3 linked regions of the Notamacropus eugenii genome follow. The protein of the gene in region 2 interacts with the protein of the main gene of each other region in a biochemical or structural test. Links are inferred from orthologs where the notes say so. Each region holds a gene or a part of one and is shown on either strand. Other genes may lie near its edges.

What was found.
Region 1: of the proteins of MAP3K1 (region 2) and MAPK8, one has a biochemical effect on the other in vitro, tested with the Homo sapiens proteins (3 studies listed by BioGRID, with this or other methods). The link is inferred for Notamacropus eugenii from reciprocal best matches to the Homo sapiens genes MAP3K1 and MAPK8.
Region 3: of the proteins of MAP3K1 (region 2) and MAP2K4, one has a biochemical effect on the other in vitro, tested with the Homo sapiens proteins (7 studies listed by BioGRID and IntAct, with this or other methods). The link is inferred for Notamacropus eugenii from reciprocal best matches to the Homo sapiens genes MAP3K1 and MAP2K4.

The regions. Positions count from the first base shown.
Region 1 is NC_092872.1:219,738,278-219,746,725, reverse strand, and holds the start of MAPK8 (mitogen-activated protein kinase 8), read left to right. Parts: upstream 1-5,002; 5' UTR 5,003-5,137; intron 5,138-8,448. UniProt on the Homo sapiens protein: Serine/threonine-protein kinase involved in various processes such as cell proliferation, differentiation, migration, transformation and programmed cell death.
Region 2 is NC_092875.1:405,365,876-405,373,595, reverse strand, and holds the start of MAP3K1 (mitogen-activated protein kinase kinase kinase 1), read left to right. Parts: upstream 1-4,346; 5' UTR 4,347-4,366; coding exon 4,367-4,809; intron 4,810-5,102; exon of another isoform or gene 5,103-5,204; intron 5,205-7,720. UniProt on the Homo sapiens protein: Component of a protein kinase signal transduction cascade. Activates the ERK and JNK kinase pathways by phosphorylation of MAP2K1 and MAP2K4. May phosphorylate the MAPK8/JNK1 kinase.
Region 3 is NC_092873.1:314,570,246-314,578,825, forward strand, and holds the start of MAP2K4 (dual specificity mitogen-activated protein kinase kinase 4), read right to left. Parts: upstream 3,690-8,580; 5' UTR 3,591-3,689; coding exon 3,494-3,590; intron 1-3,493. UniProt on the Homo sapiens protein: Dual specificity protein kinase which acts as an essential component of the MAP kinase signal transduction pathway. Essential component of the stress-activated protein kinase/c-Jun N-terminal kinase (SAP/JNK) signaling pathway.

The sequences.
Region 1 (8,448 bases), on a different chromosome or scaffold from region 2:
CCTCTTCTTCCTACCACCCATTTTCTCTTGCCAGGAGACAAGCGGATATTTGAGGTCCAGAGCCCATTTCCATTGACCTCTCTCTCCTCCATCAATAAAAATAATAGATGAAGTCTATTTTGAAGTTTGTATATGTTAATTCAGTTAATACTTTCCATAATCCAGTCAAATTGGTATTACAGCTACTACCCTACTATTCTCTCTCTCTCTCTCTCTCTCTCTCACACACACACACACACACACACACACACACGCACACACACACACACACAGAAACAGTGAGACAAAGATGAAGAACCTGAGATTCAGAAATGCTAAGTTTCCAATGTCAAAGAGATAGTGAATATCACAGGCAGAATTTGAACCCGGGACCTCCAACTCCAGAACTAGTGTGCATTTTCTGTATCACTTTACCTCTCTACTTTCATAAGCGTTGAGTGGGGAGGTCTATGATGTACAGACCACCATGTTAGGCATGGAGGGAGAGAAAACATTAAGGCACGGCTCCTATCCATAAGGGGTTTATAGTTTTGTAATTGGTCCCAACATGTACACGAATAACTATAAAGCAAAATAGAACCAAATAATTAGACTTATGTCAGTAACAACTAATAAATAGCTGAGGAGATAAGGCTAGGCACTTGCCCTAGATCACTGTTAGTAGGGAACAAATTAAACAGTATCACAAGGAGCCTGAACACTGAACAATCCAATTAGTACACAGAAGCTTCCTTTGTTAGTAATAGCTACAAATACCCTAGGAAGTGTCAACCAGCAGCCTGGGGCAGCTGCATGGCATATTTAAAAACCCAGGTCATAAGTTCACTGTTACTGGTGACAGTCAACCACTCTGCATTGTTTCTGTACATACCAAAATAATTATAGTATCACTGGCATGCATTTCATGGAGGATGGGTTGAGATGGGGCTAAAGCATCAGCTTAGTTTCATAAGTGAGACCAGAAACTGATTTTGATGAGGGGTAAGAATAGGGAGGTCTTGGGGAATTGGAGGTCACCATAAGTGGTAAAGGGTAGATTCAGGAGAAGTAAGAGAATGGGAGGAGTAGAAGGATAGACGGGTTTGGTCAAAGAGAATAATTTCAGAATTCAAAACCTTGGAGGCACAGGCAATTCAAACTGATGGCAAGGTCCAGGATTTGATCAAGCATATGATAGCTAAAGTGAATTTGAGAATTAAGTCATTGGAATGCAGGCAGTGGAAGAGTTGTAAAGTTAAATAGATGGGAGGATCATCAGTATAGATGTTGAAATCTTAAGGATAATAAGAGGTGATGGAGTAGAGGAAAACTGTGTAACCAAGTATGGGATATATTGAGGAAGCTGGCCGAGTCATAGCATCATAGAATCTAGAACTACAAGAGGCTTTCAAGAATAAAGACTATTTACCTCATTTTACAGGTGAGGAAATGGAATCCCAGAGAAAGGAAGTAATTTACCCAACATTATACAAGTAAAAAGTTAGTCAAAATCTGAACTCAGGTTCTCTGACCCTAAATCTATTAATTGCTCTTACTTCTAAAAAGGGAGCTGCCGTATGTATCAATCCATTCCCATGATTCCTTATATCAGAACTCCCTTCCCTCTTCACCACTACTCTATATGTGTTTTCTTCCATTACAATTTAAACTCCTTGAGGGTAGGGGTTGTTGTACCTTTATATTTGCATTCCTTGTACTTAGCATGGAGTCTGGCTCATATCATATCTCTTGAAAGAGGTTTGAGTAGCTGGGTATATGTAGTCACAGAAAGCAAAAACCATCTCTCTCTCTCTCTCTCTCTCTCTCTCTCTCTCTCTCTCTCTCTGTCTCTCTCTGTCTCTCTCTGTCTCTCTGTCTCTCTCTCTCTCTCTCTCTCTCTCTCTCTCTCTCTCTCCTCACTCTCACTCCTTCTCTCCCCTTTCTTCGGCACTCTTCAGTCTACCTGGATCACTTGGGAAGCAGGGTGTGAATGGTTAAGAGTTGTACACCAGGACCACAAGTACCAAAACAATCTACCTTTTATCTACCATCTTTACAAAGCATTCCTCTGTGCTTTCTCAGCTTTATCCTCCTTGAAATTAGCCTTCCTTTTTCATAATTCTTTTGTTTCTATAAAAGTGAAAACTACACACAACCTGTCCCCCTAAAATGTACATTCACAATCAAAAGACTTTGTAGTTTTTGTGCTTTAAAAAAAAAAAGTTAAAATAAAAGACTCACTTGTTGGTAGCAATGCGTGTGAATGCAGGGTGATATAAGTAGTGATGTGTACTTTAAGAAAGAACTGATTTTGACAAATGGTGACCCCAACAATGGTCTGGGCATAGGTGTAAGGAGAAGCCTATGTGTACATGTGTATAGTTGTGTATAACTTGGTAGCTATACATGTTTGATAAGGCAGAGCTGTTCATTTCCTCAGAAACCGGGAGATAGACAGCTCTGTATAAATCAGCAAGTTTATCTTGAAGTGTAGTCAAGACACCAATGACTTGTAAACTCTCCAGAAAAGAGAATCACAATAAGGTAGAGAATAAAAATATTCCTATATTCAAGTCATCTTTATTTTTCTTCAAAGGAAAGGGAGAATTTCTGTTTTTAAAAGAAAGTAATAACAATGGGACAAACAGTGAGAAAAGAATCAGAAAATCCAGTGGATTCCAGAGCAAGCTAAAATGAGCTGGGTGCCTTTAGACAGATTATTTAGTTACTTTGAGAAGACAGAGTGGTTGAATGTATATACAGTGCTGCATTTGGCATTGGGAAGAGTGTGTTCAACTCTTACTAATAAGCAAGAAATAAGTTGTGTGACTCTTGGTAAGACACACAAATTTTCTTTGCCTCAGTATTCTTATCTATAAAGTAGGGATAGTGATAGCTATATTATCTGCTTCACAGTACTATGAGTCTTGAGTGAGATAGTGTTTAAAGCACTTCACACATTTTGAGTATTCTCCAAATATCAGTTATTGTTTTAACGAGAAATTTGGCCTTCTCTATCCTTTCCAACTCTAACATCCATATTTAGATAGTGACTTGAATTGTTGCATACCTTATAGAGTACTAGACTTGGAGTCAGGAAGAGTTGTATTCAAATTCCACTTCTGACATATACTAGCAGTGTGAATGATGGACAATTCATTTAATCTGTCTGAGCCTCAAGTAATGTTCTAGGATTTATCTACTAAATTATACTAGCTAAGATGTGTTGCTTAGTACAAATCTTTCTGTATATATGTTAATTCTTCCCAGTAGAATGGAAGTTCCTTCATGGCAGGGCCTGTTTGGCTTTTGTTCTTGTATTCCCAGCACCTTGCTAATAGAAAGTCATGGGAGCATAGATTTATAGCTAGAAAGGACCTTTATCTAGCCCATCCTTTCTTTTATAAAAGAGGAAACAGAGATTAAGTGACTTGTCCAGGGCCACATAGCCATTCCTCTGTACCAGGCTGTTAAAATGAACAGACATTTATATACCACTTAACAAAGCACTAAGGGGTGTTTTATAGACATATGAGTATATTTGCTGTTTTTGTTGTCATCTTCAACTCTTTGGGGTTTTTTTGGCAAAGATGCTGAAGTGGTTTGCCATTTCCTTCTCCAGTTCATTTTACAGATGAGGAAACTGAAACAAACAGCGCTAAGGGATTTGTTCAGTCACATAGCTAATAGGGATCTGAGGTCAAATTTGAACTCTGGTCTTCCTGACTTCAGGTTCAGGGATCTATCCACTTTACCACCTAGCTGCCACAGTGAATGGATTACTGACATATAGATTATGCTTTACAAAATACCTTTATATATCATTTCATTTGTGATTGGGTTAGGCAATGCAAATATTCTTACTCTCATTTTACAGGTGAGGTACTGGAGCTTCAGTGACTTGCCCCAGGTCACCCAACTAGTAAATGGAAGAGGCAGGAATAAAACCCAAGTGTCCTGAATTCAACGGCTAGTGTTCTTTCCACTACACTCCACACAACAACGACTAAGACAAACATGAATATTGGGGGAGGGAGGTGACTGCGAGGTGGGCCTGGTCAGCAAGAAGTCTCCAATCGAAGGTTTACAAGTGGGCACACAGTAGGTACACAGGTTCTTTTTCAGCTTTATAGTTCTACCTCAGGCTGGCTTCTTTGGCACTGAGAAGCAGCATGGTATTTTGAGTGGAAAGCAGGGTTTTAGTCCTTCCACTTACCAGTTTCCTCTCCTACCACCTAGCTGACCTGGAGGTCAAGAAGAAAAGGCATATTTTGGTTTTTGCCTTAAAAACAAAATAAACTTGGATGCTAGAAGGATCTACAGCTTTGTCATCATGGAAGAACTCCCTCAGATCTCCACCTGGACGTGCTAGCACTAAAGATAAACTCTTGGCAGAGACCCCGGAGTGCGGAGAGACCAGTTCCCCACCTGTTACAGAGGAGGAAACCGAGGCCGGGGAGGTCAAGTGATTTTCCCCAAATTCCCTCTGGTAGTGAGTTAGGAGAGAAATTCTAGGAATTTGCCCGAGGCACCTGGAGGCTGAGTGACGAGACCAAGGTCAGAAGAGGAATTTGAACCGAGTCTTTCTGACAGCACATTATTCGTTACCTTTCCTCTTTATTCTTTCTTAATTAAATGCTATCTAAATGTGAATTGTCAGTATCAGCCACTCAGCCGGGAAATTTACAAAAACGTAGTCCCCGCCCCCATCGGGCCCAGCTCTGGCCACGCCCCTCATTCATACTTTCTTTTTTGCCCCTCCCCCTATTCAGATCCGCCTTTGCTTCTCCCCGGCCTCTCCTCTCCGGCCACCTGGGTCAGCCCTCCCCGCACTTCGCTCTTGCTACGGCTGGCCCCGCCCCCCGGGATCCGAATCGCCCCGCCCCTTCGTGGGCGGGGGAGCGGTCAGGGGGCGGGGCCCTGCGGGATGACGTGGAAGCGTGCGCGGTGACGGCCGGCGCTCTTGTTCCTTAGCCGAGCGGTGGAGGCAGGAGGACGCGGCCCGGAGCCCGGACGAGCCCGGACGAGCTCGGTGGACCGGCCAGCCAGCCGCTCGAGCTCGGGCTCGGACGCCTGTCCCGTCCTCCCCTGCCCCTCGGCCGCCCCCGCGGCGACCCCGGGGGCCTTCCTCCCTTCGGCGCGCGCTTCGCTTGCCTGGGTGAGTGCAGAGCCGGGCCCAGAGCCCGGGGGCGGCTCCTCCGGTCGTAACGGCTGTGTTTATGTTATTGTGCCGCCGCCGCCGCCGCGGTGACCCCCTCCGGAGGGGGAGGGGAAGGAGGAGGAGGGGGCGGCGAGGGGGAGGGGCGCGCGTCCCCGCGAGGGGGGAGGGGGCCCGCCTGGGGACCGGGGAGAGGATGCCGGGGGATCCGGAGAACAATAGCGGGGTGAAGGGGGCCAGGAGGGGGAGGGGGCGGGGAGGAGGACCCAGAGGGGGAGGGGACGGGGCCGGGGGCGATGACGCGCTGCTGCCCCACCGTTTTCCTCCCCGCCCCCCCACCGCCTCCAGCCCCGGGACCTCGGGAGCCCGAGAGCTAGATGGGTACCCACCTCCCTCCTCCCGCGGCGGCGGCCCCGAAAGGGTGGTCTGTGCTTAGCGTATTTTCCCCACTTGCATATTGTATTTTTTAAATGGCCAGGGATGGGGGAGAAGTTCTCAAAGACTTTGGGGGAGGGGGGAGATCTGTAGTCCTTGAAGGCCGGGACGGGGACTGGAAGCGTGCAGCGAGTACCTCGTAGATCCTGGGTATGTAAAAAGAAAATGGTCTTATCATTCCCATCCTGGACCATGTGTAGTGGCTGAGTTGACGCTCTAGGGCATCCTGGGTTTTTGAGTGTGTGTGTGTTTTTGTTTGCTTTTTGTGTTCTGTGGAGCCTTGTTTATGCCAGTAATGTAAAGCACAGATGCATCAGTTATATGCAGATACATCAATGCAAAAAAAAAAAAAAATTATTGGTACCGGCGATGAGTCCTCGGCCGGTGAATGGCAAATGGACTGTTTTAGCTTGTGGTGTTCTTATGAGATTTTTAAAATCTTAAGTAAGGAACTGATCTTTTCTGTATATCTCTAAACGCTTATGCTTATAGTCCCTGGCACGTAATACGCGTTTAATGATTGTGTCTTGACTGACTTGACTGTCCGAGTCACACTTTGGACTGCAGCTGTGTTATTTGGAGTTTGGGTAAATTAGTAAAAGCATATGGTCTTTGTTTTTTCTTTTCTTGTCTTCCCTCGTATATATTCTGTGAATTCAATAACATTCATCACCATCCTATTAAACTGTGCCCAATAAGTGCAATTTGCTTAAATTAGGGATAGGAACTGGACTATTGATTGTATTCCCATAGGGAACTCTCAGGTAAGGAAATTCCTTCTGATAATTGTAGGTTGGTACCTCTTCTGCAGTTGACCATCTCAGATGCCTAGGTGCTGAGAGGTTGTGACTTGCCTGGGATTACAAGGGCAGTATCTGTCAGAGGAGGGACTTGAACCTGTGTCTTGATGATTCCAAGGTCAGCCTGTCAGCTATGCCACAATAGCTAAGGTAAAAATAAAACAATCAAAAAAACCTTCCCACTAAGTGCAATTAATTAACTTATTTAATTCCGAGCTCATGCTACTTTTTTTTTGTTAATGTGGCTTCTTGGCAGTCATCCCACACTATGTCAGAGCTAGGAGTAGAAGGTAAAATGAAGTAGTTCAGTGTGGTATGTGAATGTTGCCTTGTCTACAGTCATAGCCCTGATTTATCCTTAAATAAAGCTATAAGATAACCTAGTGTTTAAGATCCTCATTTGTGAAATGAAGGGACTGTTTCCCTGACTCCTTTTGTCATTAATATTCTATGATTCCATGCAAGGTGCTTTTACTATTTTTTTTAAGTTGGAGGATTAAATGTTCCAATATATTAGAAACTGAAGGATTAAATGTGAACTGAAATTGCAGTTTTTGAAAAATTTTGCACAACATTTTGTCCGTGCATTTTGGTAAGCCACATACAGTTGTGACTAAGTGGCCATACTTTCATATGTACTACCTATCACCAGAGTAGGGGGATCTTGAACAACTTTGTTGAAGTGTTATTGCTTCAGTAAATTGACCTTCTTAAAAGGAACCTCATAATACTAAAATCAAGAATGTTCGGATACAGTAAATAGTTGTCTGAATGTTTGTATTATGAAAGGTACAAGTTCTAATTATTAAGCCAGAAGTATTTATGGCACTAACATATTTTCAATTTGCTTTGTTATAAAAAAAAAATTAAAGGAAGCATGTGCTCCTTAAATTGCAGGTAATGAAATTTTATATTTTTATCTCTGCATCACAGTCATTTCTCATTTTATATCCCCTTTCTTCCTCCTCCTTAAGCCCTCTCTTGTAACAAAGAAAAATAAACCAAAGTGATGGATAAAACCTGTGTACACAAAATTTGATACCCACGGTTCAGTGTTCTGCAATCCACTTTCCTTCTGAGAAGAAAACTATTTTATTCTCTTCTCAGAACCAAGATTTTTCATTATACCCATTGAGTTCAGCTTCCTTTTAATGTTTTTTTTACCTTGACATTATTGTTGTGAAATTGTTCATCTGGTCCTGTTTTTCCCACACCTGTATCACGTCATAGAAATCTTTGTATATTTCTCTGAATTCTCCATATTAGTGCTTCTTACTGTATAATATTTCATTAATAGATTACAGTATATATTTACCCCTTTGATGGGCATCTACTTTTTTTTTTTTTAAGCCAGCCAGTTCTTTACTGCCACAGTGGGAGTGCTGCTATGACTTGTTACATAGAAGGCCTTTCTTTCTGTCATTGACCTCTTTGGACTCTCTGCCTGATTACAACTTCCTGATCAGAGGTCATGAACAGCTTGGTGGCTTTTCTTACATAATTCCAAAATCATTTTATAGCATGTTTGAGTCAGTTCAGAGCTCCAAAAGCAAGGTGTAGCAGTTATTAAGTATCCCCTATGTGCCGAGCCCTGTGGATACGAAGACAAAAATAGAAAAATTCCTTCTCTCAAGGAATTTATATTCTATTAGGGGAAACAGGCTGAACTAAAAGATGGAATACAAAACAGAAAGTAATTTCTTGAGTGAGGGCATTAACAAAGGACAGGATTAGGAGAGCTCCCTGTTCAGAGTATTCCACTTGAGCTGACTTTCCAAGGCAGGTAGCATTTCTCTGAGCTAGAGAAGAAGAGGGAGCTCATTCTAGACAAGAGTGATTGATCAGCCTGTGCAAGGCACAGAGATGTTAGGTGGCATATTGGGTGTGAGAAACAGCAAGTGTGGAGGAGAGTCGTGTTTAGTAGGACTGAGTAAGTACACTGGAGACTGGTTGTGAAGGGCTTTGAAAGCCAAATGAAAGAACTGGTATTATATCCTAGAAGCAAGAGGAAGCTGTTGGAGCTTACTGAGCAGGAGAGTGACATAGATGTGTGCCTTAGGAATATCAGTTTGGCAA
Region 2 (7,720 bases):
ACCCTGAGCAATGCCATGCTGCCAACATAATAAGTAAGCCTATTTTCTTTGTCTCCTCTTTCCCCATAGTCCAAATGTATATAAAAAAAAGAAAATAACCAAATAATTTTCATACCTATCCATTATTAAGAACCAGGCACATTATTATATACCAGGCACTGTGCTAAACTCTGGGGATGCAAAAAGAGACAAAAGCCAATCCCTGCCATCAAGGAGTTCACAATCTAATGGGAGAAACCACACACATACATACACACACACACACATACACACACACACATACACACACACACTATTCAGGATAAATAGGAAATAATTAACAGAAGAAAGATTCTAAAATTAAGACAGGCTGGGAAAGTCTTCCTGTAAAAGATGGGATTTTAGGTGGGAAAGGAAGCCAGGAAAGTCAAAATGGAAAATCATTTTCTAAGAATAATTTCTCTTCACACTGGAGGTTCTAATGCTTGAGGGATAAAAAGCAACTAGATCCTCTGATATTTAAAGACATTTGTCTCTAGGCTTTCTTTCCAGACTTAACATACATTACTCCCCTTCACATATTCTATGGTCCAGCCAAAGAAGCCTACCTGCTGCTCCTCCTTCATGGCATTCCATCTCCCATCCCTTTGCTTTTGTACAGGCTGTTGCCCATGCCTACAGTGCACTCCATCCTCACTTCAGCATCTTAGCTTCCTCCAAAGTTAGGTCAAGCACTAATACCTGTATGAGACTTTTCTTAAACCCCTAAATTAGTGCTACTTTCCATAAATTTTTTATCATATATATTTTGTTTTTACAAATATGTACATATGCACACATACACTGTATGTATATGTGTGCATAAAATTTGTTGTTTTCTCATATAAAATATATAAGCTGCTACAGGGGTTTTTTGGTATTTATATCCCCAATGACTAAAACAGTGCCTGGCACACAGCAGATGCTTAATAATTGCTTATCTCTTGTATCAGATTTCTCTTTTGTCCTATGCCAACTAAAAATGTTAGGGTTTGTTTGTCTTTTTTTTTTAACCAAAGGTAGTAACAGGAAATAGCTGATAGCTAAAACAGAACATAGATTGACTTTCCTTTCTTTCCCTCCATTCCCAAGGACATTATTGTACTTCATATTTGGCAGCCCTATTTGATAGAATTAAAAAAAAAAAATCCCAAAACCCAACAACAAGAAAACACTGATCTTGTGAGAGTCTCCCTGATAAATGATTAATTTTTAAAAGGGCATTTTCACATCTCACCATTTTATAAGTGTTTAAAGCAACTACCAGCAGCCTCCGATTAAAAGAAAAATATTCCATCTATATGAACTAAGAAATAACCTACCAGTGCATTACAAAACCTTTCCATCCCAAAGACATTAATACACGTACATGTCAAGAAAATGCACCTGTACTAAATTAGATCTACAAATGAAACTATAAAATTAAGTGTGATTGAAGTGATTCCCAGAAGGAACATGTGGAAGTACTGATTTGGAAAGCATAGGGCTGAGAGTTATAGAAACTGCCACAGTGTAAATGAAATAACAGCCAGGCTGGTATCCTAATGTGCATAAAAATGAACAACAATAAAGATAGTGAAAATGGTAATTACGTTTCAATTTTTCATGCCCCACCTCGTTCCCCTAACAGAAGTAACTGAAAAGAATGGTGTCTTTCCCACTACATTAAAAACCAAGTTGAGGTGTCTACTGCAATAGAGTAACTTGAAATGTGATACATGCCCTTCTAGTAATATAAGGGAGAGCACAATAGGATTAAAATAGTAGCTTCAGCCTTAGACATTTTGAGGTCTGGGTAACTACTGTAACAATTCCATATAGTTTAATTCAAATGAAACTCCCTTTTCAAAACAATAAGATGAATTTAACATATGGCAGATGGGAACACCCTTTTCAGCCACGGACTTCTTTTTTTCTCCCTTTCTTTTTTTTATCTGATTCTCAGTGTGTGGAGGCATAATGAAGAACAGGATATTTGCATAAGAGGTTAAGGGGAAAATGACGAAAACCATGAGCTGGGTTTAGTAATTTCAGCTGTCTTTCGTTTTAGGAGAGGACCAGCTAGAGAAGGAGGGAAGGCGGGGGTGGTGAAGGAGAATGCAGCTGATTGGTGGTTTGACTTAACACCACTCGGCTTCATTCTGTACCCAAGTTTCAGCTTGGGCGGATGCATAGACAGGCTAGGGGAAGCTGTTTTGCTTTGAAATCTGTTTCACTTAACGCTACTCCAGGAAAACTTCAAATCTTACGATACCTTTTAAAGGACAGTTACTTTATTTAGTTTTTATAAGTGTACTGGTATATGTCTTAAGTAGATAAATTTAAAACTTGTAAAAACCTTAAAAAAAAGTTAGTGAAAAAATGAATCGTAAACTTAAAAAGGTAAGGTGTCTCAATTAGGGAAGACTAAGTAAACACCAGTGTGTGGCCTCGATGTCACAATGAACAGAGTTGCATAATTATAGCCCAAATATGGACAGCACAGAAGGAAACTCGGAGGGTTAATCCTGGAATTAAAGACTACAAACGTTTGACAGATTTTATTACCTGGACTGCTCATTACTTTCAAAATTTACACTTCAAAACTTTCAAAATAATCTTTTAGTAGTCAAGGCAATAATGTAAAATCAAGATCTATTTTGCGTCCCTTTTTCAGGACCGCAGGGCAGTAATTACCCTCCTCCTCCAGTAACAGACTAGAAAGGGGGCCTTTGCTCATAACTTCTGCAGTCCGCACTGTAACATTTGCGAAAGAAAACAGAGTTAGTATGCGGACAGCTCAGGCTCCTGGCTACATTTGTAATAAGATAAGGCCGAGTACGTTACTCCCTCTCCTCTTCCCATGTGATAGATCATCCTTTCTGTATATGAAAGTTTGCTCGCTGTTTTGCAAAATAAACCCGGAGATTGTTCTTGCCCTCGGGAAGGGCTATCATCTATAAGGCAAAGCACAGACTAGCTCGTCCCACAGAAAGAAGGAAGAGTAGAAAAAAACGAGACACAGAGAATCCCTTTGTGGCACTAGAAAGGTTGAAGATAATTAACATTTAAATAGTGCTTTTCATCCCCAAACACCTTATCGAAGAGAATCGCTCAGGGAATGAAGCCATTTGAAACACATCATTGGGGAAATACCAGCAGCTAGCCCTATACCAGCAGCTAGCCCTACACCACCACCCACACTGCGATTTCTGGCTCTCGCTTTCCCCAGGAAGACTTCATAATTAAGGAAGGGTGTTGCTGGTTTGTTTGTTTTTAACCTATAAAGGAAAATGGCGAGGGTATGGGAGGGTTAAATTGTAGAGTTGGATGGGGGCAATCGCATTGAGCTCCTTAGTGTCGGCTTCCTATTCCCTAGTCCAGCATTTATCCAATACTGGAATACGCACCCAGAGAAACAGCCAGCAAAAGTAATGCCCCAGCCCCTCCTGGAAGTTTCACGGCTTTCCCTCCGCGGGGAAAGAAACCTCAAATCAGGAACTTCAGAACGTAAGCCGCCTGTGGCCTGGTTATTAAGTGAGCTTTTATTTTTTGTCTTTATTCCTTTAAGGAGGATACAATGTATCGAAAGCTGTCCTCCTGGACTCTGAATCAGTCCTTACCTGCGCAGCCTTTACCTGCGCCCAAGGAGAACTCTCATTGGCCCCCACGCACACCGGGGAAGCCTCGCTAGGGGACAGCAGGCCCTTTTTGTTTTTTAATCAGCTCTTTCCTCCAGTCTTGCCCTATCTGCGGCCACGTCCCCACCGTGCTAATTATTTATTTCTGGACACCGGAGAGTTGTCCTGAGCAAGTTCCAAACAGCGGTGCCGGACTGCCGGGGAGGAGAAGCCGTGCCTGCGCTCCTCCCGCGGGCGCGGCCAAGACTGACCACCTGCAGCGGGAGGGAGGCCGGGCCGCGGAGCGCCCACCGGACAGCGGCTCCAGGCCCGCCGCGGGAGCGCCGCGGACCGGGCTACCTACGGCGTCTCCTCCCACCAACCTGCAGGCGGCTGCCCTTCCCGCACTCCCGCCGCCTACCGCTAGGGGCGTCACGGCACATTCGCCTCCTTCTCCTCCTCCTCCTGCACGCTCCCCCTCCCCCCCTTTCTAGGCTTCTAACGCTACTCCGATGGACCAACCGCAGCTCTCCGCCCCGCCCCCAGCTCGGGCCGCCCCCCCGCCCCCTCCCGGAGTCCCGCTTGCGTCGTCCCCCACGTCGTTGGCGTAGCCTCCGCTACGCTCCCGGGGCTCGGCGGCCCTCGCTCCGCACACCTCCCGCCCCCAGCGGGCCCCGGGCCCCTCCTCCCCGCTCCTGGCCCGCCCCTCCCCTGCGCGAGGACAGAGCGAATGTAGCCCGCGAGAGAAAATGGCGGCGGCGGCGGGGAATCGCACCTCGTCGTCGGGATTGCCGGGCTCCGCGGCGGCGGCGGCCAGCCCCGAAGCGGGCGGCGGGCTCCTGCGGGACGCGGGCAGCGGGGGCCGCGAGCGGGCGGACTGGCGGCGGAGGCCGCTGCGCCAAGTGCGGAGCGTGGAGCTGGAGCCGCCGCTCTTCCCCGCCTCCCCGCCGCCCTCCCCGGAGCCCGGGGACCCTGCACCGCCGGGGCCGCCGGCCGCGGCGGGGGGCGCCTTCCAGCCCGCAGCGCCCCCGCCGCCGCCGCCCCCCGCTCCCCTCGCCCTCGGCGCCTGCCAGTCCCGAGAGCCGTCGCCGCCGCCGGACAGCGGCGCCCCGAGCCCGGCGGGAGCCGATCCCGGGGACCGGAGGGCGGCCCCGAGCGAGCAGCCGCCCGCAGCCGCCGGTGCCCCCGCGAGGTAAGGAGCCGCCACCCCGGGCGCGCCGCCGAGCGCCTGCCTGCCCCCAGCCCGGCCGGGCTCCGGGCGCTCCCCGAATGAATGAACTCGGGGGCAGCGGGTGGGGGAGAGCGTCCGCAGCCGCTGGGAGGCTGCAGGAGAGTCCGCTAGGGACCGGGCTCTTCCCGGGCTGGCTTCCCCCCAGCCCCTCCACCTTCCCTCCGGCTCCCCGGTGTTGGGCGGGTCCCGAAGCCCACCTTTGGGAAGGGAGCGAGGGACGGGCTCGAGCTGGGGGGCGGGGGGGCGGTGTTATTGTTTGGAAACGTGGGAGACACCGGAGCTGTCTCTGCTCGGATCTGGTTGCGGAAATAGTTGAGAAGAAGGGTGTACACCAGTCCCTTGCCCTGTGTAGACTGGTAGGTTTCCGTATGTAGGGGGAAGTGGATCGGCCTGGGAGGTTGCCCCTTGGTAGACTTTGAGCTGGACCGATGATCCGGGAGGTTGCCCCGCGTAGACTGCCAGGTTGTTCAGCTCGGAGGTTGCCCCGTGTCTGTAGACCCGAGGCTTGCCCTGTGTAGACTGGTGGACCCGGAGTTGTGGGAGAGTGAGCTAGACGTTTGCCCGGACAGCCGGTCCGAGGGGACGGGAATAGGGGTGGGGGCCCTGGACTCCCCGTGTTTGCCGAGGGGGTGGGGAAGCAGCTGCGGAGGAGAAGATGCCCCAGGGGCCGGGTGTCCCGAGGACTCGTGGGCTTGATGCGGAGGCTGCGGGCGCCCCGGGGAGCCTGGACCGGAGCGGAGCTGCCTGGGCTGCTGCTGGGGGTGGGGGCGCGGGAGGTCCGGCCGCGGTGACTAGAAGCTAGTGGGCAGGAGCGAGGTCCGGGGCCAGCGGCTGTGTGTGTGGTGGAGGAGGAGGAGGCGAGATCCCGCCGGCCCGGGTCAGGCCGGTGCGCTGTGGGACAGACAAGCTGCTGTCCTGGAGCCGGGATCTTCCGCGCCGCCTGGCTGCAGCTTGCCCAGGAGGAGCCCGGGGTCTGCAGCAGGTAACCGGGAGGTTTGGGTGCTGACTGGATGTCTTTTCTGCTTGGGAGAATGTCGAGTGCAGGTCATAGCTGGTGGAGGCCAGTGAGCTGCAAACTCAGGGTGCCACAGTGTGTGGGCTCACGCTGAAGTACTCTTTGGGCCTAGAATGCTTTGAACTGGTAGCTGTGGCTTGTGTTTGAGATGTCTTTGAAGTTTGAATTTACTTGGGTGGCTAAAGATCTTAGACCGGATGTGTCAGCCATTCGGTTTCCAAGCCATCCAACCCGTTAACTGCCACCACAATCCTCTCACCTCTGGGTGAGAGTGGGGCGCACTTTGCATAGCTTCAGCTCACCCCAGCTGCAAACGCTGCCACCTTACGAAATTCCAGTAGCAACAGCATGATATACTGTTTAAAATCTCAAATTCTTTTCACTTCCGCTCAAAGAACAGTGTGACTAAGAAAAATGATTAAGTTTTCCTTGACTTTTATTTAGTGACAACTCTAAAATACTCTTTTAAAGGAAATCATTAAATGTGAGTTGACTTGAAAAATTCAGCGCTGAGAAACTGCAGAACACGAATTGTTGAGAAGTTAGTGTTTTGAATTTTTTTTTTTAACGTTGTGGCATTGCACCGATTCTCCAGTAGGATGTCCTGATGCCTATTTAAACACCCACATATATAATTTTGATTTGTGTGTGTAAGCCTCTTAAATGAAAATCACTTCTCCAAGGAGTTTTCCTAGTTCTGATTTGTGGCTAGGATGATTTGACATAATTTTGCTGTGGGCTTGGTTGATTTCATTTATTTATAGCTGCAGTGTTATGACAAATCCTTAACTTAAAAAACATTTTAAAATACATTTAGAAATACTGATAAGTCCCTCAAGACATAATGAAAACAGAGGAGCCTTTAACTAGGTTTTTGCATAAACATCTTGTGTAAATGTATAACAACTTCTGCAGAGTACTGATTGTTATACTTAATATTTAATCTCCTTTGTGTAGTTTCCATTGGAGTTTAGACTAAATCATTAACTGGGAACAATATTTTTTTGTTGAAGTAAATTGTATTTAGGGTTAGAATTTTGAATTTTGTCGTCCAGAAATTAATTTTAATTTTTCTGTTCTGATAGAGATTTATAGCAATAAGGACACAAGCTTTACATGGCTGTCAGACATTTGAGATAAATTAATACCTGAACTTATTAGGCCACAGTTAGTATGTTAACACTTGTCAGATGTTTGGAAGTAGATAAGAGCAAACAGAGTAGAAATAACATGCACAAAAATGTTGATTAGCTAAAGACTAAGCTTTCCTCAGATCATGGCTTTAGAGCTGAAAGGGATTTAGAGATCGTTTAGTCCTACTCTTTCATTTTACAAATGAGGAAACCATAGCCTAGAAAAGTCATGACTTTCCCAAAGTCACACTGCTGGTAAGTAGCCTAGCCAGGGCTTGAACCATGGCTATTTTCAGAATACAGGCACTGAACAATTCATTCTTTCTCCTGTTTTGTAACCTGGATGTTTTCCTTTTGGTTGTAAACTAAAAATTGTACAAAATATATAATAGTGCATATCAAAATATTTTCTTGAAAATTTAATTGAATTCCCATTGGAGACATATTTTGTATGTTAGAATGAAAGAAAAAACATGTATAGTATATGAAAGTGGAAGGGAAAAATAATCTGCAAGGGCAATTAGGTACTTGGGGTAAACAGTTCAGTCACTTTAATTAGAATAGGTTTGTCAAGGTCATAACCATTCGTGAAGAATTTTGTGTAAATTATTTAATATTTCCCAGTTTATTTAACATATTCAAAGATTTCATAAGTACTTTGACACTGTGACTTAAATAAGATCGTCACAAGTTTTTTTTTCATTTCCCCTTATCTTGATGTCTT
Region 3 (8,580 bases), on a different chromosome or scaffold from region 2:
GCGCTCCTTCCTACATGAAGTTCAAAATGATATTCTTGATGCACACTCTATCTCTCACACCCCTTGCCTTTGCACAGGCTGTCTCCCAATTAGACTGCACTCCCTCCTCATCTCCACTTCTCAGAATCCCTAGTTCAAAAACTTAGCCTAAGTGCCCTTCCCACACCAAGTCTTTTTTCTGATCCTGACAGGTAATACTTACAATTCTCAAATTACCTTGTTATTTATTTTACATATATTTATTCGTATACATAATGTTTCTCCCCCCTTCATGGAATGTAGGCTTATATCCTTAGCATCTAACATATAATAGGCACTTTATAAATGCTTGATTCACAGTATCACAGAATCTGAGAGTTGGAAGGGGCTGTTATAAAGACTGATATAACCTCAGTAAAAAGCCCCTTACTTGTTTTTGTTCAATTGTGTCCTACTCTTTATGACCACGTAGACCATTACATACTGTCCATGGGGTTTTTCTTGGCAAAGATACTGGAGTGATTTACCATTTCCTCCTACCATGGATACCACAGATACCAAGGCAAACAGAAGTTATGTGACTTGCCCAGGGTCATACAGCTAGTGTCTGAGGCAAGGATTTTAACTTAGGTCTTCCTGACTCCAGGCCCAGCCCCCTACCCACTAAACCACCTAGCTGCCTCCCCCCTCAAGAGTAAAGGCTATTTTTTCTGGTTTTTTGTATCACTAGTGCCTAGCACAGAGCCTTCCCGGCACACAGACACTTAAATGTTTGTTGAATTTAAGTAACTGTCCCAATGGCACTAAGTAGCAGAGTCAGAATTTAAACTCAGATCCTCTGACTCTAAATCCAATGCTCTTTCCACACAGCTCCCCCAATGTTCTGCTACTTCCTAGACACTTCTGGGACTAGGCATTTTACAGGAAATGCTTTATTTAATATTTTTTTTAATAATATCTTCTTAAATTAAAACAACAGAATACTCATAAGCAATCCTTGTGACCTCTTTACAGTTTAAGACCACTTCAAAGGTCTCTCTAGGATTGTTTAGTCTTTCAAGTTATTAGAGTTAAGTGAAGTGAGTAGTATAAATAAAGGCAAGGTTTCATGAATCCTTAAAACAAAGGTGTCAAAATGCAGGCCCTCCTCAATGCAGTGTGAAGCAGATTAAAATATAACTGGATAATATTTAACAAAATAAAGAAAAATACAATAACACATAAGGAATTCTTAAGTATAGTTTATTGGGCTCCTATCTCCATTTGATTTTGACACCACTGATTTAAAGGTTCATAGACGTAGGAGTGGAAAGGACCTCGGAGTATTCTAGTCCAACAGCCCCACCCCACATTTTACAGATGAGAAAACTGAAATTTAAGTAACTGGCCCAAGGTCACACAGGTAGTAAATGGCAGAGACAGAATATGAACTCTAGTCCTTGACTGACTCCAAGTTCAGCATTCTTTGCACTACAAGGCTGTCTCTAGACTTCATCTGACACTTTATAATAATTTGTCTTATTTAACTCTTTGATGTTTGACTTTTTCACCCACTTAGAATATAGTGCCACTGAGAGAAAAAAATTTATCTAACAGATGGTTGATCCAAATAGGTTGTACTTCCAGTTATGACATACCTAAAAAGAAATAGCCTAAGAGATATCATCAAGGAGATACAAGATCCAAAAAAGGTTAATGGATCAAGTATTGACAGGGAAAGATAACCAATAGCTAGCCCAAATGCCATAACATTTTACAAGCCCCAAAGAAAACCTCTGGCAGGCAGGATAGATCCCTTGTGGAGGGTCTATAAAACATAAACAAGAAGCACACAGGATTAAAATATACAGATGAGTCATGATCCGTACTGATGGAAGAAATAGGAATATTGATAATGTCTGAATATTAAAATAAATCCACAGAACAGTGTACTTCTGATGGACAGACAGAAGTTAAGAAGTATGGGGGTGTCTACTGTCCAAAGTAAGTGTTCTCCCTCTTATCTCCAACTTCCACTATTCCTTGCTTCCTTTAACTTTCAGCTGAAATCTCACTTTCTAAAAGTAGTCTTTCCTGATTTCTTTTAATACTAGTTCCTTTCCTCTGATGATTATTTCCAATTTATCCTGTATCCTGTATCCATCTTCTTTGCAGATAGCTGTGAACAAATACAACTGCGTTTTGTCTTACCCATTTAGACTGTGAGCTCCTGGAGCTGGGACTTGGGACTACCTTTTTGCCTTTCCATATATCCTCGCCACTTAGCACAACGCCTGGCATATAAGAGGCACTTATTAAGTGCTTATGGACCGACTGAAAACCAACTCTTTCAAGACAGCAAAATGTCACAAGAGTCAATATTGGCTAACGTGGAACTGTCCCCCTGGTTCTGTTCATTCAACGAAAGAAACGTGTAAAAAATTACCAGAGATTTCCAAGGCTACACAAAGCACACTTCCTGCATTTAACAGCTTCCCAAACCCCAAGCACATATTATTACAACGATGAATTCTGTTAAAGACTACAGATTTGGGGGGGGGGGGAGGGGGGGCGGGGAGGACAAGAGCTCGGATGGAAGCAAGGGTGGGAGAAGGATCAAGACTTAGGATTTCACCCTAGCAATTTATCTGTAGTTTATAATTTCAAGAGAATTGCCCGGGGCACTAATTGATCAAGCGCCTTGCCCATGGTCATACAGCTAGTATGGGTGTCAGAGGCACAGCTTGAACCTATTTCTACATCTCTTAAGATCAGTTATCATGGCCAAAAACAAACAAACAAAAAACACCTTCTTAAAAGATGTTTTCATAACGCTAGGGGACTACAGGAGAGGCAGTGTCATAACAATGCACATGTTTGTGTTCTTTGGTTTAAATAAAGTTTCCCATTTTCTAATATCCAAGTTCAAGCAAAAAGGCCTGCATGGAAGGGGCTGTCACCACAACCAAAAAAAGAAAACAAAACCCCCAAAACACCTTCGCATCTCATTAGCAGGAGCAGCTCCAGGAGAAGCCGTGAATCTAGGTTCGATACCCCTTCCCCCACCCCCAGCCAAAAAGCCAATTGACTTCAAAGTCATGAAGCATTTGTTCTAAGGAGAGTTACGAAGGAGAGGCAGTTTAGGATCATAGCATGGCCTTCCTCTTCCTCTTCCTCCTCCTCCTAGCCTACGTCCTGGGGGAGGGGAGGGGGGGAGGTGTATGAAACCATCACCAGATTGGAGGGCACTGCTGAGGGCACCGATCCATCCGGGGCCTGAGCCGCCGGGATGCCGGGTGAAGCAGAGGCCGACTCGAGTCGGGGCCAGAAGGAGGTTCCAGGACCGAGGCTAAGGGAGGCAGCTCCGCGGCCGCCAGGACAACCAGGCCCAAGAGCGGCGCCTACTAGGCCGGGAAAGCCCGCGGCGGGGGAGGGGGGACTGCGGGGTGGGGAAGGAGGGGGGCAGAGAGCGAGGCCTCGGCCGCCACTGGCAGCTCGCGGGGGTCTTGGGGCGGGGCGAGGAGGCGCTCCTTACCCTGCATGCTGCTGACGGCCGTGTGGCCTGGCCCTGGGGGCCCCACGGCGCCGGGAGAGCCGCTCCCGCTGCCGCCGCTCGGGCTCGGAGCCGCCATTGTTATCCGGGAGGAGTGGAGCGGCGCCGCGGCGGCTGCAATGCAGCAAGTTCGGCCTCTCTCCGCCTGCGAGGGGCGCGGCTAGTGCCCGCCTCCGGCCCGTCCCCCTGGCCCGCCTTCCCCGCCTGCTCCCCAGCGCCGAGGCCGGACCCACCCACGCCCACCTCCGGCGTTCCAGATACCAATCAGTTTCAGCCTGGCCCTGGGCTCGCTCCACCCTTGCAGACTTGCCCAGACCTGGTCTCCCGGTACTTCTGCAGCCCTTCCGACGGGTAAAGAGATACACACCCACTCTCCCTTCTGACCCCCGGTAGTTTCATTCATTCTGTCAACAAACGTTCTTTGTTGTTAGTAAGTGTAATTCTAATGCAACTCAATTCAGCAATCAAATTAAGTGCTTTCTATGTGCGAGCCTTCGAGATTAGAAACTAATAGTCCTGACCTTCAAAGAGTTTGAGCCCTCGTGGATATTAGTAATAGTACTTAAAAATAAGTGACCCCTTCCCAGAAGAACAAGAGGATTATAGGTATGGAGTGTAATGTATACTGTCATACTCCATTCATGGATCTGCCCTAAATGCCAGGGATTATTATTAAAAATAATAATAGTATTGATAATAACCCCTGCTCTCTAGGAGCTCACAATAATCCAACCCTTTCATTTCTGAGATGAAGAAATAGGGGCCAGAGAAGTGACTTGAAGTCACATAGGTATCATGGGTTGGGTGTAAAATTTGAACACAGATCTTCTGATAAAGGGCTTCCTATACACTTCCTGCTAAGCTGTCTTTTTTTTTCTTTAAGATAAAAATTTGATAAAAATTCAGAGTAATAACCTCCTCTGAATGAGTTGGGAAGGAGAGAGATATATTTTGAAATTAAAGTGATGTTAAAGAGCATCTATTTGTTTTTAAAGAAAGAAACAGAGGGGAAAAAACTGATGATCTAGTTTTGGAGAGGGGGTAAGGATTGACACATGCCTACACTACCTAAGATGGCAGGACCGGCTTCCAAGAGACTGTGGGACTGGGACATAAGTGAACATTCTGTATTAGCTACTATGTAGTTTGGAGCAAACTTTTTCCAATGGCTCAGCAACACCTGGCCTTTTTCTTGCATTCCCATCTAAGAGTGAAGGATACTTTCATTCACACCATGTAGTAAATGATGTGGATACAAACAGCGCCCTAAGAGTTAAAATAATATTAAGGATTGACTTTGTGAAGCCCCTGGTTTATTTTCTAACCTGAAGGCACCCTTAAGTCTATCCCCCTTATCCTGAAACACCTTAAAACTTCTCCCTTATCCTGGACCTTAAAATTCCTTATGTCCCCCATCCTGGGTTGTAAAATCTTATCTGTCTCCCTTCTTTTGTGTCATCCATCTTCCTCATCCAATTCCTAAATCTCCAACCCCTATTAGAAACCCTAAAATTTACATCATCACCCTAGAGCCCGTGTATATCAGTCTGGTCCTTGTCCTATATCACTGCCTTTTATAGATCCGTGCTAAATTTCAGACCCACTGCTTTTGTGTCAATGAATGTGATAAGTCAGTGAAGACTTCTCAGGGACCTAAGTCAAAACTGAAGCGGACATAATGCCTGAGTTTCAGTTTATCAAAAATCATATGATATTGGGAAACTTGAAGTTGTGAAACCGACTGTCACCCCTCTCCCCAGTTTCACTGACTCCCATTTCCCTATTTCTGAAATAGAGACTGCTAGCTCAGGCTGCTGAGTCCCATTTCCTTATTTCTAAAAATAAAGACTGTTCATTCAGGTTCTTGACCAAAAGGGTAAGAGGTGTTTTGTGGTCGTCTGCTATATAACCTTGCATCTGCTTCTGTAAAATGCTTCCCCTCCTCCAATTTGCTTGGGGAAGGGTGAAGTCCAGTATAAAGGATTTTCTGTGTATACTCTGAAATGCTTCTGAGTAGTCAATTTGAGTAGGGGTCTCACCATCCCACACATCAATAAAGCCCCCTTTGGCCACAGAGAAGGTCTAAGTGAATTCATTCACATCTGAACCAGCTCTCCCATCTCTCTCTCTTCAACAGTAAAGCTAGAGGGACTTTGGGCCTCTTTTTTCCCCACTGGATCGATATAGGTCCTGACTTTTGGCATTTTCCTTCCTCCTTTTCTGTTCTAGGTAAATGGAGTACAGTATCAGACCCAGATGTTCAAGCCACAGGAATTTGTCACTCCAAGAGGGGACCTGGGATGCTAGCCCAGCAGGGATTTTTTTATCTTGAACTTAGTAGGACTACTGCCGTTTATGAACTATCTGAATTGTCAAAGACCAATGCAGAAGAGGTTTGGAGAGGGGGAGGGGAAGGGGATTATGTTCCAGAGGTGTTGGGGGAAGTGTCAATATGTTTGTCCTTGTTATATCTTTGAAATAAATATCCCTACTAGTTTAATCTTGACTGGTTAAAAGACTCTGAGATACTAGTCACTGGGCAAACACAAGTAGGGTCAGAGAAAAGAGATACTTCTACTGCTTAGGGTACCAGAGAGCCCTGTGTGGGTATAAAATGTAACAAGCCTCGGAGGAGTCAGAGAAACTATGTTACACTTATTTTACTGAGAAAATGGAGGTGTTCTATCTGAGATCCTTTTTCTCCACTTCTCTTTACCTCAAAATCTTCAAATGTCTCTTCCTTTTCCTCAGTGACCCCTTTTTCTTAACAAGACCAACCCTCTACATATGCCTTTGATCCTTTCCCCTCCAATCTTCTCTCTAGAAGACTGAAACCTCAATCATCCTCAATCCTTTTTAAATCTTCAACCTTTCCTCATTGACTAGTTCCTTCCTATTAATTCCAAGCATGTCCAAGTCTATCCTTACTGTCTTTCAATCCCTTCAAGTTACTGTTTTATATCTCTCCTTCCTTTATTAGTCAAACTACCTGAAAATGCTTTCTACACTCACAGCCTCCAAGTCCTCTCTTCATATTTATTCCTCTATGCTTTGTAGTCTGACTTCTGACCTCAACATTCAACTGAAGTTTTTTCAAAATTATTGATGGTCTCTTAATTGCTAAACATGATAGTCTTTATTCATTCAGGCCTCATCCTTCTCAAACCATGTACTCTATTTGACATTGTTGATTTATTCTCTCCTCCTGGACACTTTCCACTCTCTCGAGGTTTATGATACTACTTTTTCCTAGGTTCTACCTCTTCTCTAACCATTCCTCATTCTCCTTTGCTTGTTTGCCATCCATATGTTATCCTCTCACTGTGGGTATCCCCCAAAATTCTGATCTAAACCCCTAAATTTTTTTCTCTTTACACTGTCTTAATGACTTGATAGGTGTAACTACACACATACATACATACATATATACATACATACACACACTCATATATATACATACATATATCTTAGTGACCTCATGGGTTTAACGATATAAATATATATAGATATATACATGCATACATATATATTTCTTTATATGTACGTATGCACATGTGTGTATATATACATATATACATTTATATATATTCAGCCCATGACTCCCCCCAAGCTTTAATTCCCCAGCACAATTTGTCCATTAGACATTTTAAACTAGATGTCCCAAAGACATCTCAAATTCAACATATCAAAAATTGAATTAACCTTTCCCCAAAATCCCACCTCTCTTCCAAACTTCCCTTTTATTTGAGGATTATAACCTGAAAATTATCCTTGACTCATCATTCTCCTTCCCCTCACATATCTAATCGATTGCAAAATCTTGCCATTCCTACCTCCTCATCTCTCAAAAATGACCCTTCAGGCCCTCATCACCTCTCACTTGGACTATGCATTATAACAACCTCCTAAATGGTCTGTGTCCCTCAAGTCTCTAGCCCAGAGGTTTCCCAAGTAGGCAATACTACTGCCTGGGGGGCACTGGAATGATCTAGGGGGATCGTAGCTGCTTCAGGTACAATTGGGGAGTATCAAATAAATATAAGGGGGCAATGGAAGCATAAGGAAAGAAAAGAAGAAAATTTTGAAAAACCATTCATGCATGTTTCATCTGTTGTGTAACAAAAATAAAGATATCATGATTACATTTTTTTTTCCAATTAAAAACACAAAATGCAAGTTATAACTGATCAGTGGTCAAGTCTGCTGACAGATCTTAACAACCAAGTGCTGGCAGGTGAGTGCGTCAGGCATTGTCATGAAGTCCAGCATGCATCAGTAGGAATATGTGCATATAATGACTTGTTTACCATATCATATGGTTAGAAGACACAATATTGTATCATCACCATTTCAATGCAGGAAAAATCCCACAAAATTAGAAAAAAAATATTAAATTTAAAATGCATCTTTGTAAAAAAAAATTACATTTAAAAAAATGACACAAATTTCAAAAAAAAATGTTAAAGGGTTAAAGAAATTAGATTTCCAGGGGGTGGTGCTGAGTAATTTTTTTTGAAAAAGGGGTGATAGGCCAAATAAATTTGGGAATCTCTGTTCTAGACCCATTCCAGACCATCCTATATGCCTATGTACCATAGGATTTTCTTTAAGCACACTTTACCATGTGATTCCTGTACTCTACCAACTCAGTCTCCCTTTGTGATAAAATATAAACTCTTTTGTTTGGCTTGAAAAGTCCTTTACCACCTTGCCCCAACCTGTCTTTCTAACTTCATTATACATTATTTCTCCTGAATTCTGCAGTCCAACCAAACAGGCTTTCTCTTTGTTACTCCTACACACCACTCACTCACTCTCTCACTCTCAGGGTCTAAAATGCTCAGCAGTCACATTTGTCCATCAGTCTTTGTCTTCCAGAGCTCTTTCTCTTAAACCTAACTTGTATTGAACTGCTTTATATTTATTTGTATTGTTGTCTTTCTATTTTTTCTGTATAAATCAGTAAATCTAGTTGTGCCAGAGCCAGGGCAAATGCACAACAAACGAAACAATCCCCCCTTGCAAGAAGCTTACATTCTAATGAAGGAGACAAATATGCCAGTTCACAG